Arabidopsis thaliana: one gene and its partners. The protein of the gene in region 4 interacts with the protein of the main gene of each other region in a pairwise test. Each region holds a gene or a part of one and is shown on either strand. Other genes may lie near its edges.

Region 1 (4,717 bases), about 18 Mb from region 4:
AGAGTAATCTCACAAATCATATACATCCTGACATATACATCAAGAAATGAAAATCATACAAAAAAATCTCTATTCTAGGTTCGTTAATAAAAGAGGTTATTAATATGTATGTAACTGAATAACGATAATATACATAAGGCTCTTGCATATAATTTATTTAGGTGTATTCAAATAAATCCTGCAATTTAGGATTGAATAACTCAAGGAATCGTTAATTACCACCTCATGAAAATGTTAGACAACCAACAAATCATATTTACAAATACAACAGTATCAAATATCTCTTTCAAGAATTTTGGTATATATATATTAGACATACTCTAAACTAAAATAAAACTTATAACATATGTATTGTGAAAGGACAGATACAGAGGAATGGGAGTTATCAATGTGTGACAAGTGAGAGCAGAAAAGCATGACCAAACTATTCAACAGGTACATTAAAGTGTTCTCAGGAAGGGAAATCTAATCTTTTCTTCTGACATAATTTTGTAGCCAACTAAATTGACAGGAAACGAATCATTTAGATTTATATACATGCATAAGTAGTTATCCCTCGAACATTTTTATATATATAGGAAATATAACATGAGTGTGTGGATAACAGTTTACATTTAAAAAGATTGGAGGAAAAAGGAAACTTTGGTGCAAGAAATCAGAAAGACAGAAGTGGTGAAAATACAAGAACTTATAAAATTAATGAGTGGATACATCAAAATTCAATTATATTAAAAAAAACAATGATTAAGCTGATAGGTCTTCTTAGTTTATATGTCTTTCTTTCCTCCATCGAATTTGCCTCTGCCTCATATACCATTCTCTTTTAGTATGAATTTATCCATTGATTTTATGTAATGATTATGTTGAAACTCTCGGGACAAATAGAGAAAATGAGCTTTTTAAGTCTCTAAAATACTTTATTTCTTCAAACTATATAAACGGAACAAATAAGTACATCCACTTTTACAAAACCTGGTTTACGTAGATTTTATTCCCTCCGTGCAAATGGGAGGAGATTAAATCAACCTACATCCAATAAACGATAGCAATAATTACGAACCCACATCAAGATTTTTAACAATTTCTATATGAGAAATGTTAAAAATAATTGTAATGATAATAATTAGGTAGTTGAAGAGACAAGACCAGAAGAAACTCACGAAAGCAGGCTTTTGTGTTTGTGTCGACATGTAATTTTATCAAGGGAAAGAACAGAAGTTGTTGTTGTTGAACCCACTTCTGTCTACAAAGTTCTCTCTTTCTTCTCCCTCTTCCTAAATTAAGCAACACATCACTATCTATTAATCTTCCAATAATTGATTCTTATCTATCTTCATTCTCCTTATTATAATTATTATCTGAAATAATCACTTATAGAAAAAAATGAAAAACCTGAACTTGTGCATGTGTGGGAACTACAGAATTATCCAATAGTGAAGGAAAGATAGGAGTAGTTGTTGGCATTGCATTGGTAAAAGACGTTCCTACTTCTGGAGAACCCATCTGTCCATCAAGAAAATATCTACTTAAGATCCATAACCGGCTTTTCGGGATACATGACTTGGTTTTATCGGTAACCGGATTAAGAGACATTGTGTAAATGAAATACCTCAGATTGAAGTATGAGGCCATCAAGGTCGGAGCCAAAGTCATAGACCACCGGACTTATAGAAGTTAGCTTCATTGAGAGAAACTAATGAAACAGAAAAAAAAGTTATGAATTAGAAACATTAGTTTTAACATAAAATGTTACAAGAAAAAACAAAATAATTAAGAAAATGCACCTCAACTTGAGTCTGCAAGGTCTGGACATAATTTATAATCTCATCCAACATGAGGGCCTTCCCTGTTACCTATTCGTTTTCAAGTCACATTTAATCAATTAATAACATTTTCTAGAAACATTATAAAATTAAACCATTATCAATTCTCCTAAATAAAATTGTCTCTACTCTAGCTGACCTTATCACAGCCCGGAACAAGGTTTTGCAGAGTCCTCATCCGCTCACTTATCTTTTCCCTTCTCACCTTTACATATATATATATATAAGTTTAATCAAATATTAATCAAAATGTATTTTATGAAAACATGATTAATGAAGAAAAATTAAAATGTTAAGAGAAATGACTAAAATACCCTCTCAGCAAGGCTGTGGCTATCAGTAGCTTGGCCTCTTCTAGCTCGAACGTGAATGTAATCTGTTGGAGGCTCTTCTTTGCTTCCTCTCTTCTGTTTTTTGCTTTTTCTTCCCTCTACTCCTTCCTAATTCACCAAACCACACCAACATTTATGTTTTTGACTATCCCAACCCCATCACATAAATGATAGATGATACATTACAAGTTGGTTTAACATACCTTGGAGTTATTACTGTTTCTGGCCTTCCTCCCACGGGTTTTTCCGGTGTTGGTGATGGCTGATGGTCCGTGGCTGAGCTGGTCGCAGGAAGAAGAACCGGTGGTTGCTGTTTTGGTTGTGTTGGCCAGTTTCTCTGAACCAGAGTTTTCAGTTTTGTCAACATTATATTCAAGAAAGGAAATGTCTTCAACTGTGGAAATGTTTGGTAGTGGATAGAGATGGTTTTGATCGATGAAACTAGTGAGATTAATGGAGGAGTGAGGTGTAGGGAAGAGAAGAGGATCAAGAAGGGAATGAGGGTAGTTTTGGAAATAAGAGAAAGTTGCCATTTTAAGAGTAGAAGCTTCTGAGTTCTCTTATCTTTGTCGATAGAGATAGTGTTTTTTCTTTGTGAGAGAAGATTAAGGACTTGAAGTGGTTTATATAAGGAATTGCTTTTGTATTCACTATTCAAAGAAACAAGGAGAAACAGAAGAAAGAGTATTTTAGGGACCACTTGTATATTGAAGATACCTTTTTATTTGAGAAGAAATTACTACCATATTTCGGCGGGTAATTTATGTTAGATGATATGTTTATATATAATATCGAGATTGTATATTTAAGTAATTGCATTGAGTAACCATGGAAGAGTAAAAATGAAAATTTAAGTAAATAATGTTGAATTTCAAAAATTAGGTGACTAATGATCTTTCATCATTCTTAGATACGTATGTTCTCTTTTTTTTTTTTTTTCAAATGCAAACTCATGGAATATTTGTCTATTTATTTTGTTTAGTTTTATTACTCTATGGGTATCATGATATTTTAGAAAATTTGTTTCAAATTACTTTATGTAAGAACTTATAATTTTAAATTTTGTTGTAATTTGTATTCTCCATAGTTTTATGTTATTTAGAGAATAAATTATGTTTTGAAATATAAGATTATAAATACTACATAATTTGTAATACAACCATGTTGTAAAACTAAACAAGACAAATACTGATCAATATATCATTTAATTAAGACTTTTTTTATAAGAATATAATAGCGCATAACGTGAAAACAATAAATGTACTATAAAAAGAAGTAATCAACTAAACCCATTAAATGAACGAAAGAACGACCAACGTGGGCAGTCGAACTCGAGGAAAATGTTCTCTAAAACCAATTGATGTATTTGTATTGACCATCAACTACACTCACGTAAGCATTCAATATTGTCGCCCTAACAACGAACTATATTTAGAAATGCCCTAAAGCTATGGCTTGTTTTACTTTATAAGAGGGTCGGACCTATAATACACATATCAAAAAAGTTAATGTACACCAAAAGAGCAATATTTATCATTTATCAATCAATTTTACTTTATCAGATTGCAGAACCTTTGCCACAGCTAATATATAGATCAATATATAGGCACAGTTTAACGAGTCAGATATAATTAAAGACTAGATAGTAGAGAGATATATTACCCTATCCAAAATACTGTACATTTAGAACTAAATATGTAATGCCGCGTGATCTTCTCAATAATAATCTCTATGTGGATACCATAATACTACAAACTTTTGTCCATTTTTGTTAGAGAAAATAAAAACTTTTGTCCATTTCCCACTTTGGATCGACATAGGAAATTTCCTTTTCAGAAAAGGACAAAAGAAAAAAAATTGTGAATAAGGTGTGAAGTCCAATCCCATGATACCGTTGGGTATGCATAGAAGACAAAAAATCATAAATCTCCATTTTGTTTTGATATAATCGGGTACTCTTATAGTAATAATCGAAAAAACGAGTACTTGACCATCAAAATTTATCACAATCCATGTCCTTAATTATTTAGACTATTATAATTCCTTTCTTCTATTTATAAATTATTATTATGACACGTACTTAACAAAAACATTAAGCGAATCTACGATTAATTAATTATCAATTGTATACGTACGAATACGATCTATGGACTTTCTATTATGATTTTCTTTTTGAGATCAAGTTTAGAGCAGAAAGAAAACATGCTAATTAGGAACCAAGAAAACATTATGATTGTTCTTTTGGACATAATTTACATGTCAAAGGTCCGCATGAGCTTGTAATTAATTATCATAACCCGAAGATGATAGAGATTATGCACGTTTCATCCGGATGAGGAATAAACATTTATTGGCATCATATTTTCTTCACCAATATCTCTCTTTTGCTTCTTTTCAAATCAGGGTACTTGCACAAAACCTTTATTCTTTATCTAACGCATTTAATTAGCGGCTGATCTATTATTTGTACTGTGTTTTGAATATTCAAGATCACATTTAAAGAAAAGAATAAGTGCACGAGACTAATTACGAAAGGATGATATGAAAATGAATCTTGAATTA
Region 2 (5,576 bases), on a different chromosome or scaffold from region 4:
TTATAAACTGTAAAATATAAATATTTTATAAAAATAAAATTTACAAATTTTAATATATATTACTTTTAAAAAATAAATCGTACCGCGGTATATCGCGGGTTAAAATCTAGTTTATGTTGTATAAGTTAAACATTTGTTGTTCTACTATGTTCTTGTTTTTTTCTCTATATGGTGATGTCTAATAAAAGTAGTAAGCAGATTATAATGTTATCTCTTTAAATTCGGGGTTTGTACAAATGTAAGTAGTAAGCGGATTTTTAATACATATTTTAGGAGTATCCAATTTTGGTGATGCTATCTTTAATTTGGATATTTGAAAATCTACATACAAATAATCATGAGGGAAGAACCACAAAAAATGAGGGACATGAATTAAGTGAGTATACAACAATAACAAATAAATATATACTACAAGTATAATTTTTTTTAGAAGTAATTGTCCCTTCATTCAAGAATTGGTCACATATAATCATCATTCATATGGTTTATATATATATATATATATATATATATATATATATATATATATATATAATTAGGGATGCATATACATACATACATCCATACATACATACATACACACATACACACATACATGCGTGCGTATAACATATAGTTCCATAATGTAACAAGAATAATCAAAAGAAAATACCATATGGTTGTAGGTTTTTATTATGTACAAAACCTCCATAAATCCAGGAAATAACTCCTTGTTTTTCCCCTTCCATCTTTAAGTATAAATAACACTAGTGTGCATGTATTTTCATATATATTCACCTTGCATCTTTTTCATCTCTCTATCACTATTTCTAGAGATCAATCTGACAACTTGAAGAAGTAGAAGCAGCATGAGCATTTGAATACTCTTCTCCCATTTCAACAACCCTTTCAGAATCATTCTCCGGCAAATTTATTCCCTCATCTATCACATGATAACCCGTGTTTCTCGTGTCAATCTTGACGTTGTTTTGATGAGAAGAAGAAGAAACCACGGCTGCAGCCTCTTCATCATTGCTAAGCTGTGAAGCAACAAATTTATCGAGAACTCTCCAGTCAGTAGTCATTTGCTCTACTCCTTGATCGTAATACAGAGAGCTGAAACTTTGATTCCCTTGTTGCAATTGTTCCTCATGAGATATATTTGATGATTTCTGCAAGTTACTAATATTTCTTGTGTTATTGTTGTTGTCAGAATTGCAATTACTGGTAGGGCTTTCGAGCTGAGGAAGCTGGAGAAACATAGATTCACGAAGATGATGGTTTTGTTGTTGATGTTGTACCATTTGATTGTAATGTAACTCGAGCTCTTGCTTGCATTGCAAGTTAGGATTGTTGTTGTTGAATGCATTGAGGCCACAAGGCAATGTCTGCTGGTGATGGTGGCGGTTATAATGATGATTGGGAAGAAACTGTCGTGGAGAACTAGAAATGATCTCGGAGGCCATAAAAGAGAGCTGATCATCGTACCAATGCTGCGATGGTGATGAATGGTAATCTCCCATTTTCCTCACTGTCGCTGCCAATTTCTTCTTGAATACCCTACATACTACCCATCCTTCTTCCTACACACATCACATAAAAATATCACATTTACAACATCGCAAATGCACAACACTTGTCCATCACAGATGAGTTCTTGTGTGTAGTGAGTAGTGACCAATGAATTTCGAATTTGGATATAGTGACAAGTTTAGTAAACTTGTAATAACATTTTAAAGTTATGAATGATATGTATATAACATGTGTTTATGAAATTTTATAGTGAGTTGAATAATGCACTTTTGTATATATTGGAATTAGAAGTTGTGTCGTATGGTGAACAACTCCAATGCATTTTTAATGTAAATTGATTTCTCAAATGCATTCATTCTAAGAGACATACTTAAGAAAGATCGTATATACAGGGAAGCTCAACTCCTTATGCAAATAGAGTATGAGTTAAGATGTATGAGCGCCTTAGATCAATGTATATATACCTGAGGGGTTCCATTTTCACTTGTTTCTAAGCGATATTCGTGCATGATCCAATCGGATTTCTGACCATTTGGGGCTCTTCCTTTGTAAAACACAAGTGTTTTCCTCATACCGATAAGACTATGTCTTATATATATAGCCTTGTCTCTTCCAGTGGCTTTCCAAAATCCTGCTTTCGTGGCTCTATTGGTTCGAGTTCCCGTGGGATACTTCTTGTCTTTATGACTAAAGAAGTACCATTCGCTCTGCTCTTCGTTTCCTATCTTGCATAACTCTAAATTATCACAAAGAAAAAACAACAATCGTAAGCCTTAATTTATACCAAAACAAGGATATCACTACTAAAGAGAGATGATAGGATTTTCCTGCTAAACCTTGAAGATCACATGGCTCAATCTTGTAAAGATCAACATCCTTGATGATATCGATTTCTATTCTCTTTGATGCAACTTTTTTCCTCAAGTAGTAGTCTACAAGTTCTTCATCAGTAGGATGAAATCTGAAGCCAGGAGGTACTTGTGAAAACGAATTCATTCTTTATTCTTTGTTTTTCCGAGATTAGCCTGTTTATAATATGAAATAACGACTGTTAATTATATTATGGATCATGAAAGTAATTGTTATACAAACTCATTTCATTTATCAACTTAAGAAAAAAAAAAATCTGTGCATCGGCAAACTAATAAGAAAGAAAAATGTCAATGAAACTAAGAAAAACAGTTTTTCGTTTTCAAGATTTTGTTTTATATATGATCTAGCATTGATTTGCATCGTTTCTTTTACTTAGCCAGACACAAGTTAGGGTTATCTTTCCGACTTATTTATACACACATATGTATCATTTAAGACATTCATGTGTGTAGTATTTTGTGGGAATAAGAAACCTATAAATATCTATACATCTTTAGAAAAAAAGAAAGATAGTTGATTTAAGCCGATTAAATGAGTTTAGATTCAAAGGACTCTGGAAGATGGAATAAGGATACATAAAATAAAATATCACTACTAGTTTCCAATTAACCATTTCCCGTATAACTAATCATAAATTAATATGTTAGATTAACTGATAATTGCATTTTAAGTATCCGTAAATAGAGTCAAAGGAAAATATGAGAAATATCTATAGGATCATTCTATAATCACCAATCGAAAAAAAACAAATCTTAAGGAAAAACCTAGACCACGATCGAGTCTATTAAGGATTATACTTTGCTTAGCTTGTACCATCAGCAACATTGAGTAGGATAATGATGTTAATTATAATTTTAAAAAATCAACAATTATCAAGAAAATAAAAATAGTAAATATATCCAAAAACATAGAGATACAGAAGAGGATCAAAGATGGAGTAGAATCTTCAAAGGAAGTTAGGGTCTATACCTCAAAAAAAAAAACTCAAAAACAGGCTGATTCAACTCAACCCCTTCAAAAAGCTCCGGAATTGAGTTATTGTATGTGACTAGCTAGGTTCTATTGAATCTTTCCCTTGTACTTGGAAAGATCGAATACTTCACGATATGCACTATAAAGTACGATCAGAACTAAAGAAAGAGATAGATAGAACCCTAAAAGGAGATGTTATGCATATGGAAAAGATTTGACAGTTATCATCGGGATGTATAGCCACCGGAAAGAGATCGGATCCCAAGAGTCAGAGATATTGAGAGAGAGGATGGGAGAAGAGAAAGAGAGTAGGGTTAATAAAGAAGATCAGACGGTGATGATGATGAATAAGAATAAGAAAAAGAGAGAAGAAGACACATGAAAAAGTGTACAACCGTGTCCTAATAATCTATACTACTTTGTCTCTCTCTCTCTCTGTCCTTCTCAATCATAGTCTATGTCTTTTAATAACCCCGAGTGAGATAGAGAGACTTAAATTGTTGCAAAAGCTTCGGGAGAAAAGAGAGGCGAATAAGGTTTTGGTACTAAAGCAAGATTTTGATAGAGAAAGAGAGCGGCAACCTCCGATCCATTACCACCCACCAGCCCTTGATGGAGACGGTCCAAAGTTTAAAATATCTTCTTTTTTCTTTTTTAAATACCGTTATATATATGGGACACATATTCTCTTTGAACATTTTGTCCTTTGGCATCTTCAAAAGTAAGTTCATAGATTTCTGTAAGACTTAACTCAGTCATGTTCTACGGTCCAAATTCGTAGTCTAAATGTTAACATGAGTGTCTAAGAATCCTCGATAAACATCGCATAACTATATTGAGACTTTCGTATGTTCTTTTTACTTTGCATGAGACTTAATTACCATCCAGTTTAGCCAAATTATTATAAAACAAAACAAAACAAAACATAAAAACACGAAACAAAATAATATATATAGATGAAAAAATCAGATGTGGAATTGGAGCCACTATTAATGGAATCAAGGGCCCGCCAACAATTGGAATGTGTTGACGTGGCGGCTGATGGTCTGGCGTGAGATAGGCTTCGATCATTAATCTCACAATTTGCTGTTCGGTCATGTGGGTCTCATCCCGTTTTCCCGTTCTTATTTGTGAAATTTATGACCCATATATAACAACATTAACAACACACATTTTATTTGAAAGTTTAAATCATCAATATTAGATGTTAACAAAAAAAAATCATTAATATTAATTGTCTTCTGTTAAAAGAGTAGAGTAGGTTTCAATTTATTTTCATAGGTGAAAGCAAATTTTGCATACGCTTAAATTTTCAACTTTAATTCACCCCATACTCTATTGCAACTCAATACTCCCTCTGTTTCTATATAAATGTAGCTTAAGGGTTTTTATTTTTTTTCAATTTAAGTGTTGTTTTCAACTTTCTATGCAAATAATAAATATATTTAGTATTCTTTAACCAATTATATTTAATCATCTATTTTTTTATTGGTTGAATTGGTTATAATAAATGATGTTTTTATATAAAAGAGGTAGATTAAATGAGATTTTTATGACTTCTTAATTTGTGTGAAAAAAACCTTAAACTACAACTAATATGAAACAGAGGGAGTATAAATCTTTATCGAAATTCTTTCATCCAATGTTCTAGGGAAATTAACAACAACAACAAAAATAAAAAAATCTAACTAATATCAGCTTCATCTAGACATTTGTGACAGAATTTCAGTTGTTTTCTAAAACTCAACCTATTATAGTATTATATATGATGAACTGATAATACAAATAAAAAGGTTCATGAGTTAATGGCGCTAAATCAAAAATGAAAATAAATATAAAACATGTATTCGTTTTTACACTTTTAGTCTTTTAGAAGAAAACAGCATACATTTGTCATTAGAAATTCATTTTGTGAGATTTGAGGTAACATTGAAGGTAGTGATGTTGATCGTAGCTAGTTTCCGTTTCATGAACATAGTTTGAATGCCATGTAAAATATGCCTTCTGTTAGTTTTTTTTCAATCTTACATTTTTTTTGTCTATGACTACAAAACACATATTGCTTAACGAAGTGTTAATATTTTTCATTACTGTATGTTATTTTCTTGTTACGATTGGATGACATTAGCTTAAAAAAGTAATTTGCATGGTTATCATATAAGAAACATTTCAAATTTCATAAATGAAACTGATTTTGAGTTGACTTTCTCTAGATATTG
Region 3 (4,381 bases), 3.9 Mb from region 4:
CACTCTGGTTCTCCTTGTGTTTATACAGTTTCTGATTTAAATTGTGGCATCAGTGATTAGTTTAATATGGAGAGCTAACCTTCCAAAGAAGCAAAGGCCTCCGAAGATCAGTGAGAATAGAGTTGCACTCTCCCATCTACAGAACATTCTAGGGAATAAGTACAGAAGCACAACACTCAAAAGTGTCAGTGTAAATGAGGATCAATTGGAGTTTCATACATCGGAATGCCGAGGAAGTTGGTAAGGATGCCTGATGACCGAGCAATGTAAGCCACAAGAAGGGTGTAATGTATGAGAAGATAAGACCAACTACACAACAGAAAGGCTTGTTTCAAGTTTAAATGAAAGAAACAGTGATGGAAAGCAAGTTCTGAAGTGAGAATGAGAGGATGATTACGAAACAACTTGAACTCCAACAGACCCAAGAGTCCGCTTCGCCATTGAGACCTGCCAAAATATCATGTCAAAGCTGAGTTTAAAGACATAATAACTAAGCTAAGTTTTCATAGAAGTATTGGTTTGAGGGGATATACAAGAGATACGCCTCCAGAGCCTAGTTCACTCATGGTGTTGACATTTACTTCTGCAACCAGCAAACCTGTCACAACCTGAAGCCAACATGTATTACTAATGACCAATCCGTTACTTGCAAGAAACATAAAACAGAGATAAGAAGAATCATCCATCATCACCATGAAGGCCCAACAGAGAATGCAGGCGACTGCAGAGGCTAGAAAACCTGATTCTTGTGTCACAGCTGGAATCGCAAGTATCCCTGCACCTACCTAATCAAGAAAAGGATAAAAGTTTAGCAGAAAACAAACTTGATTCCTTGCATAGTTTCAACAAGAATATGGACAGAGTTATGAGAAAGTAGACACACTTACGGTAGTGCCAGCAACCAAGAAAATTGCACTGGACAAACTTCCTGAAAATTTCTAAAACTTAAAAACCAAAAATTTCTATCCAAATTTGGGTATTCACATGCAAAATGGTAACAGTCTTTGTACCGGATTCTCGCTTCAATGTTGATTGATTCAGGTTAGAGAAGAGCCTCTCAAATACGACAATCTTTTCTTCCTCATCTTCTTCTTCTTCTTCTGTTGTTACTTGTGTTTCTCTGCGTTCATCAGACACTCTCTGAGGCAAACACTTGAAGAATCTTGGGGTCTGAGTTCTTATGAATGGGTTTGATTTGAAACCAAAACAAGATGAGGAAATATGAGATCTTGGTAGATAAAAAGGGAGAGGTCCATTGAAACTAATGGGTTTCGTTGGAACTGAAAAGGTGGGTAATCTAAGAAGACAAGTGTAGCTTAGAGACACAGACATGTCTGTGTTTGTCTGATATCAGACACTAGCTATGAAAAGCCTATGATCAGTCTTCTGGTTTGTTTTCTGCGACTTCCGACAGTCAAAAGATTGTGTTAGAGAGAGCTTAGCTTCCAGATTAACATGTGTGGCTGTCTTATTTTTGAAGTTTTATTTCCCAATTAAATTTAAAATCTATGCATTTTATGCTTCTATTTTGCTTTTAGAAAATACTATTTGCATCAATGATACAAAAGTTGTATGCAAGTAAAAGAATAGCAATGCAAACATAAAGTATAATTTACAATTTACTCTATAAAAATAATTTTTATTTATTTTGAGTTTATGGTTTCTTAAGATATCATGTGATAAATCAAATTAAATGTTACATAATACATGCTGTCAAAATTAAATAATTGTTACATAAAACTTGTTAAATGAAAAGCAAAATAAAATATAAGATCTCATTATTAAATTAAAAAAGAGTGGGAGAAAAAAGGTCCAATTGCGTATGATTTGGGTCCGACAAGGACGGGTCAGAAAACAGAGACCAATTTCTAACTAGAAAAAAACAGATCCAAAGGAATTTATTTTTTTTCCTTTTCTTGTCGTGTTTGATGGAATCAATATATATATTTGTTAATTTGATTTTCTCTTGTTATTTATTCCAGAGAGAACGGAAGCAAGCAACACAAATTTCAAAATTAGGGTTTTTATCTTCTTCCCCTTGACTTTGGAAGCTGCTATTCCTCTGTAAAACAATAGCATGAAGAAGAAGCTCCAGACACGTTTTCCAGCGGTATGAAACATTACTTTTCACTGTTTTATAGTTTGTTATGTTCTTCTTCTTATGGAGATAACCATGAACTCTGTTTTGTGAGTTGTGAGAGTAGTTAGGTTCAACTTTTGCTATGATTTCAGGTTTACTTCTTCAGGGTTCCATGGTCCTTGTCTTCATTAGGTTTTTAAATTTATCTTTGTGAATGTATCTTTGGACTTGGAGGGCTCTTTTGTTCATGGCTAGATATAAATAAACTGCAGAGATATCTTGTTTAGGGCTAATCAAAGATGTTGATATCTACATAAGAAATTTCTTAGTGTCTGAGTCTGATTTTGTATGTGTTGATATGTTCAAAATTTGTTTCAGACAAGGATTAAGAAGATTATGCAAACTGATGAGGAAGTTGGCAAAATAGCAATGGCAGTCCCTCTTCTTGTTTGTAAGTGATGTGATGTTTTTGATTTTCTTACTCAAACGTTGTTCATATGTTAGCTTGTGTCACATGTAGTTGATCTGTTCTGGTTTTGAATTTAACTTTTCAGCTAAAGCTTTGGAGCTGTTTTTACAAGACTTGTGTAATCACACGTATGATGTAACTCTAAGCCGAGGTGCTAAAACTGTCAACGCCTTTCATTTGTAAGTGTGAATCTCATCTTTGGATTTTGCTTATATAAACCAATTGTTTTCTTGCTTCTTCAATACTTTTCTATTCTTTTTCCAGGAAGCAGTGTGTGCAAGCGACTAATGTCTTTGATTTTCTAAGAGACACTGTCGCTAAAGTTCCTGATTTGGGTGGCTCAGACACTGAAGACCAATCAGCTACCAAAAGAAGGTTAGGCCCGCTTCTTCTATAGTTCTATTCTATGTCAGCAATCAATCTACCTAATTTTGATATCGGTATCGTGTCTAACAACTTGTTTGTTCGACTTTTCAGGAAAGTTGTTGATGGAAGTAGTTGCAACGATGAAGATATGATAAAGACCACTCAAATGGTAACTAGCCAGACTTATTTTGCCAATAGACAATTGTATATTACTTAACGCATATGTTTCGCCTTGTTACAGCATGAGGTCAAACATACTAGCTGTGGCAGAGGAAGGCGAGGTAGAGGCCGCGGACGAAGTAGTGGAAGAACAGGAAGTGGGCTGTCTCTAAAATTTGAAGAAGATTTAGAAGACGGTTCTCCCGAAAGCAGCAGGACCCCGTCTCCCGAAAACGGGAGCCTTTCTCACGACGATACATCTTGGAAGAAAGTTGCATCACACAACAATCATCATAGTAGTAACTCAGAGGTAAAAGTAAGGAACTTCGATCTTAATGTTGAATTAGATGAGAATGGAGACAATGCTACATGGCTGGAAACACAGCTAGAGAGAAGTCCAGATTACCCGTTGGAGATTAACGAAATGAAAATAGATCCTGATGATCAACAACAGGCTAGTGCTAGTGACGAGGAAGATTATGATGAAGAAAGCATAGACCAAGAGTGAAAGAGTTTCAGTTTAGGTGAAATGACTTAAAACTAAAGGTAGGAGAAAGAAAACAACAACTTAGGAATTGACACACTTATATATTATAGAAGCAGTGTGTATGTAGGAGATTGCTCTCATTCTCTTTAATGTAATTTCGTTTTTTTCATTCATCTCTTCTAATTTGATAGCAAGCTTTACACAAACTATAAAATCATATACATAAAGTATGGTTTAATCTTTGTTAATGTTTAATTTTAATTAAAATATTTAAGTGAGATAGATAACCCAAGATTAATGGAACGACCCGTCGGATCCAAAAGAAAGAAACAAGCGGGTTAAATTGATATCGTCTTCGTCTACCGTTTCTCAAAATCAAAACCCCAGAAAGCAGAAACCTCTCTTCTTCGTCTTCTCTCGTCAATTCAGCTGCGACAATGGATTTCCAGGTCGTGATTCTAGCCGGCGGATTCTCTAGTTATCTTGTTCCCTTAGTCGCCAAGGTCCGTCTCTCTCTTTCACTCTCATCATCAGCATAACAGTTTCGACGAATTGCTAATTTGTTGTTGTTGTTCAGGAAGTTCCTAAGGCGTTGCTTCCCGTAGCGAATCGTCCGGTGTTGTCTTACGTTCTGGATCTTCTCGAGAGTAGTAATCTCAAGGATCTGATCGTCGTACGCCTTTTATCTTTTCAATACAATTACTGATTTCCTTTTGCGAGTTTCTAGGTTGAATGTTTTCAATAGAGCTCAGATTTTTTCGTTTCGCATTGGTGGAACAGGTTGTTGAAGGGGAAGATGCTGCTTTGAAAGTTGGTGGAT
Region 4 (3,810 bases):
AGCTTTGCAAATTAAATCGAGCTGAAACAGCAAAAATTTATTTAATTAATTGATGACAGAAATGGGTGAAATCAGATCTTTATAAAAGTTTTAAGTAATTTTTTTTCTAGAAGAATAATTATAATATTAAAAAAATAAAAGTGCTCGATACATTTTTACAAATGAAGTCGAAAATATTGTGAGATTCTGATTACGTAGAAATAATTATCTACTTATAAAAATTATTAGATTACTTATTACTGGATAAAATAAAAAACTTTGAAAGGCAGAAAACGAAGTGTGTGTGTTTGACAAAGAAGAAGTCCGCAAAATGTCGGCGAGAGAGTTAAATCCATTCTTCTTTGCCTAACCAAAATTACTCTTAACTAATAAATTAAACAGTTGATTAGACATCCAAGAGTGGTCCAACTCCTCTCCTCTAGCCCTTGGTTTAATTCCATGGTTTGGGAAAAGAAACCGGGTAAGTTTCTCCGGTTTAGATGCTTCAATGTTGAAGCCGTACAAAGGAATCCAGATTTGGTGATCAGACTAGAAATGGATTCAAGACTTCAGAATTATGAAGTTACACATAATTTAAGGGGATTTGGATTCGAATGACACTAGTTGCTAAGATTCAATAAAAACCTTACTAATTACATCTGAATCACCTAAGTGATTTTAGATTCAAAGAAAGGGGAAAAAACACAACCCTAAGTTAAAAAATGTAAAGAGCATATCAACACCAAGACGCGACGAATTTTGCACTTTACAGAGATATTGCTAGAAAGAAAAAGAAGTCAAAAGGATAATGTTAAAATAAGGGATTCCTTTGCGGTTTTGTTGATTAGCTTTGTAGACTTGTTTGTTGTTGTTGTTGGGGTTCTTCTAGTTGCTCTGGTTGAGGAACTGTAACACCTCCATTCATTCTTGCTCGAGCTTCTGCAAACATCCTCTGTTGTTCCGCTGCCGCCTCTTCTTCCGTCATCTCTGCTCCGCTATTCATCTTCACACTTCTCTGCGAATCCTGCTGCAGAATTGGCAATAACACAAATGATACTGATTATAATTTCATTCAAGTCTGGATCTTATTGTGAGCTAGGAGATGATGGTTACCATGGTTTCATATTTATGTTGCTCATACGCGGCATAAACTTCTTCTACGTATTCCCCAAAGCCAAGAACCTGTGTTTAACAAAATCAAGATTACAAAACATGTATATATTTCACATAGATGTATCAGACTGAGCTGAATGTAACACCAAACCTGTAAAGCTTTGAGTACGTGCTCAGGGGCTATTGTTCGTTTATCCTCTTTGTTACACACTTCATTCGACTCCGACGATATAAGATTTATGAACTCTACAATAAACAAATTTGAACATCATAAGTAATGAAATAAGCAAATTTGAAACAATGTTCGCATTCATAAATCTCAAGACTAATAATCATTACCTACACAACACTCAATCAATAGATCTTGAGCATCTCTAGCAACACGAACATCTGCGGGTAACATCTCCTTTATAATTTTCGTCATGGTAGCTGAAAGAACAAACATATTTTTTATCAGACAAAAATACAGAGTCATTGCATTGAGTAACCTGAAGCCATAGCTAGAGCTAGATTTACAAAATCTTTCAATTTAACCAAGAAATTGACAGAACCAAAAATTAAGTAGTAGATCGATCCAAAGAAGGAAACGAGACCGAACCTTTCGGAAGCGAAGCATCTTCCTTTGATTTTCCAACTATATCCATCGGATCCATAGTTTTAAATCTACATGATCAGAATTCAAAAGGAAAATCAGATTACCGGAAGATCTAGACCGCGAAGTTATAAGATGAAGAACAAAGGAGAAAACAGAGATAGACTTTACCGAGTTTAACACGGATCGAAACAGAGGCAGATCAACGACGGAGATCCGGTGAGTTAACAGACTCTCGAGACAGATTCACGGCGAGATCGGAGACGTGCAGTCGTACGGAATCTTATCGGCGGATTTTCTCTCTCCTTTTTCGGTTTCTCTACGCAGAAGTCGATTAGGGCAAAAAAACATAAGACCAGAAGTAAGTGCGTGACTTTCACTTTTGCCTTAAAGTGATTGACGGCGCGTAAGATCTAATTTCGTTATTTTTTAAGACAAATGAAATGGGCTTTTTACCGAACATTACATATGTAGGCTTGCTTGCAGCAGACACGACCCATTTCAGCCCAAGTTTTTTTTTTTTTTTTTGGTTTTGAACAAATCATCCGCTTTTTAGTCCACTGGTTAATCAGAGAAATTAGGGGATGTATTGAATTTTGAAGTATTTTGTAAGAGTTTGATTTATTTCCAACTCCATGTCATTCTTCTTTTTAGTATGTTATTCATGTTACATGTTATTCAAATATGATTTTTAAAATGTCTTCCTAAATCTTATGATATTCAAATTCAATAACTATGTTACTACAATTTTTTCTTGGACAAATATGTTATGAGACTTTTAGATACATTTTAGTTATAAATATGAATCAAATACATTTTAGTTCTAGAAGAAAAAACCAGATCTATAAAGTTTGTTATTAAAAGATAGAGAGAGAGGAGGGATGTAGTAGGCCAATAGGCAAATCAGAGAATCACAAATGGTATCTGGTCAAGAAGATTCCTGGTTAAAACTTTCATCTCTCTGTTTCCTTTTTCTTTCTTTGTTGGATTCATTAATTTGACATATCTCTATCATCACACTGATTCTCTTTCTCCCAGTTTGTCTGCAGATGCATGTGTGTAATCTAGGGTATATGTTTTTGTCCATTTGGTTTCATAAGGCAATAAAGATCCAGCTATTTACTACTTGTGGTATAGATTTTGACTGTTGAATTTTCAGATCTGATGTGTTTCGTTTGATCCGATTCGGAAAATTTATGTTTCGTTGACATTTTGGAGTTTAGTTGGAAGAAGAGTGAGAGTCGCTGGAGGCAGCGGTTCATCGATCTCTTCCTGTGAACACATTAAAAATGTAAAAGCATGAATAGATCGATAAACCTCTGCATCCAGCGTTTGCCTCTTGTATCTTTCTTATTGACTTGAATCTTTTTGTTTATTGGTTTTTGAAAGAAGAAAAAAGTGAGGGAAAACAGAGTCAAGTCCGATTACTTTTCTGGGAAAGCTGAGGATTTTGTGTTCTTAGAGAGCAGATGAAGAGGTGACTGTTGTTTCTGGTGAGAATTCGACCTCTTTAGTTTGTTTGTTTTTTCAGTTAATGAAGTGCTTGTTATTGAAGTGTGTAGTTGACTGATAAGCGCCTTAGCTTTATCTTAATGTTTATCAAGTAGATTTGGCGTTGGATAATTAAAAAGAAGTTCAGATTCTTGTAGGTTGCTTACTTCGTCTGACCAAACAATGTTCCTGAAAAAGTGTTGTGTTTTGTTTCATGTATCAAAAAGTCTAGCTTCAAAATTTTCTTGCTTTTTTCCAACATGCAAGATTTCTCTTTATAAATCGGTACATTTGTAGGTACAAATCGGTACAAATTTGCCATTGTATAAATCGGTACAAATTTTCCTGTGTTCTTGTAACAATGCCCTTTATACATTTGTAGGTGAGATAGAAGTTGGCATCTAAATTTGCTTTCTCTGGACCAGTGAAATCAATTGCAGTCTCCTATATATTGTAGTAGGCGATGTATCAGTGGTGAAGCGAGGATGACATCTGTGGGTACTTGTTCTTAATCCTTCACTCTGATATCTATGCTTTAGAAGCGTTTCAAGTTCATGAAGCTGATTTGATGTTGAGTTTTTAACAACAAGAATCAATTCACTCCAAAAATATGTAAACTCTGCCATGCCTTGAGC

Evidence for each region.
Region 1: the proteins of NF-YB12 (region 4) and AT5G50915 interact in a two-hybrid assay, tested with the Arabidopsis thaliana proteins (one large-scale study listed by BioGRID).
Region 2: the proteins of NF-YB12 (region 4) and ANAC026 interact in a two-hybrid assay, tested with the Arabidopsis thaliana proteins (one large-scale study listed by BioGRID).
Region 3: the proteins of NF-YB12 (region 4) and AT5G19490 interact in a two-hybrid assay, tested with the Arabidopsis thaliana proteins (one large-scale study listed by BioGRID).

Annotation. Positions count from the first base shown.
Region 1 is NC_003076.8:20,709,565-20,714,281, forward strand, and holds AT5G50915 (basic helix-loop-helix (bHLH) DNA-binding superfamily protein), read right to left. Parts: upstream 2,901-4,717; 5' UTR 2,689-2,900; coding exon 2,359-2,688; intron 2,264-2,358; coding exon 2,138-2,263; intron 2,029-2,137; coding exon 1,963-2,028; intron 1,854-1,962; coding exon 1,785-1,853; intron 1,694-1,784; coding exon 1,610-1,693; intron 1,504-1,609; coding exon 1,393-1,503; coding exon of another isoform or gene 1,372-1,392; exon of another isoform or gene 1,275-1,371; coding exon 1,200-1,274; 3' UTR 1,161-1,199; exon of another isoform or gene 1,027-1,160; 3' UTR 539-1,026; downstream 1-538.
Region 2 is NC_003070.9:23,215,409-23,220,984, forward strand, and holds ANAC026 (NAC (No apical meristem) domain transcriptional regulator superfamily protein), read right to left. Parts: upstream 3,802-5,576; 5' UTR 3,355-3,801; intron 2,593-3,354; exon of another isoform or gene 2,538-2,592; 5' UTR 2,509-2,537; coding exon 2,349-2,508; intron 2,249-2,348; coding exon 1,977-2,248; intron 1,563-1,976; coding exon 810-1,562; 3' UTR 545-809; downstream 1-544. UniProt on the Arabidopsis thaliana protein: Transcription activator that binds to the secondary wall NAC binding element (SNBE), 5'-(T/A)NN(C/T)(T/C/G)TNNNNNNNA(A/C)GN(A/C/T)(A/T)-3', in the promoter of target genes.
Region 3 is NC_003076.8:6,575,970-6,580,350, reverse strand, and holds AT5G19490 (Histone superfamily protein), read left to right. Parts: upstream 1-1,842; 5' UTR 1,843-2,077; coding exon 2,078-2,110; intron 2,111-2,458; coding exon 2,459-2,531; intron 2,532-2,634; coding exon 2,635-2,728; intron 2,729-2,813; coding exon 2,814-2,924; intron 2,925-3,026; coding exon 3,027-3,084; intron 3,085-3,156; coding exon 3,157-3,582; 3' UTR 3,583-3,841; downstream 3,842-4,381. Other genes in the region: AT5G19500 (Tryptophan/tyrosine permease), read right to left, coding at 80-136, 220-309, 398-447, 534-608, 693-785, 888-928, 1,011-1,332; AT5G19485 (transferases/nucleotidyltransferase), read left to right, coding at 3,999-4,064, 4,139-4,234, 4,342-4,381.
Region 4 is NC_003076.8:2,634,139-2,637,948, reverse strand, and holds NF-YB12 (nuclear factor Y, subunit B12), read right to left. Parts: upstream 2,118-3,810; 5' UTR 1,856-2,117; intron 1,756-1,855; 5' UTR 1,746-1,755; coding exon 1,691-1,745; intron 1,522-1,690; coding exon 1,432-1,521; intron 1,339-1,431; coding exon 1,244-1,338; intron 1,162-1,243; coding exon 1,093-1,161; intron 1,007-1,092; coding exon 824-1,006; 3' UTR 516-823; downstream 1-515.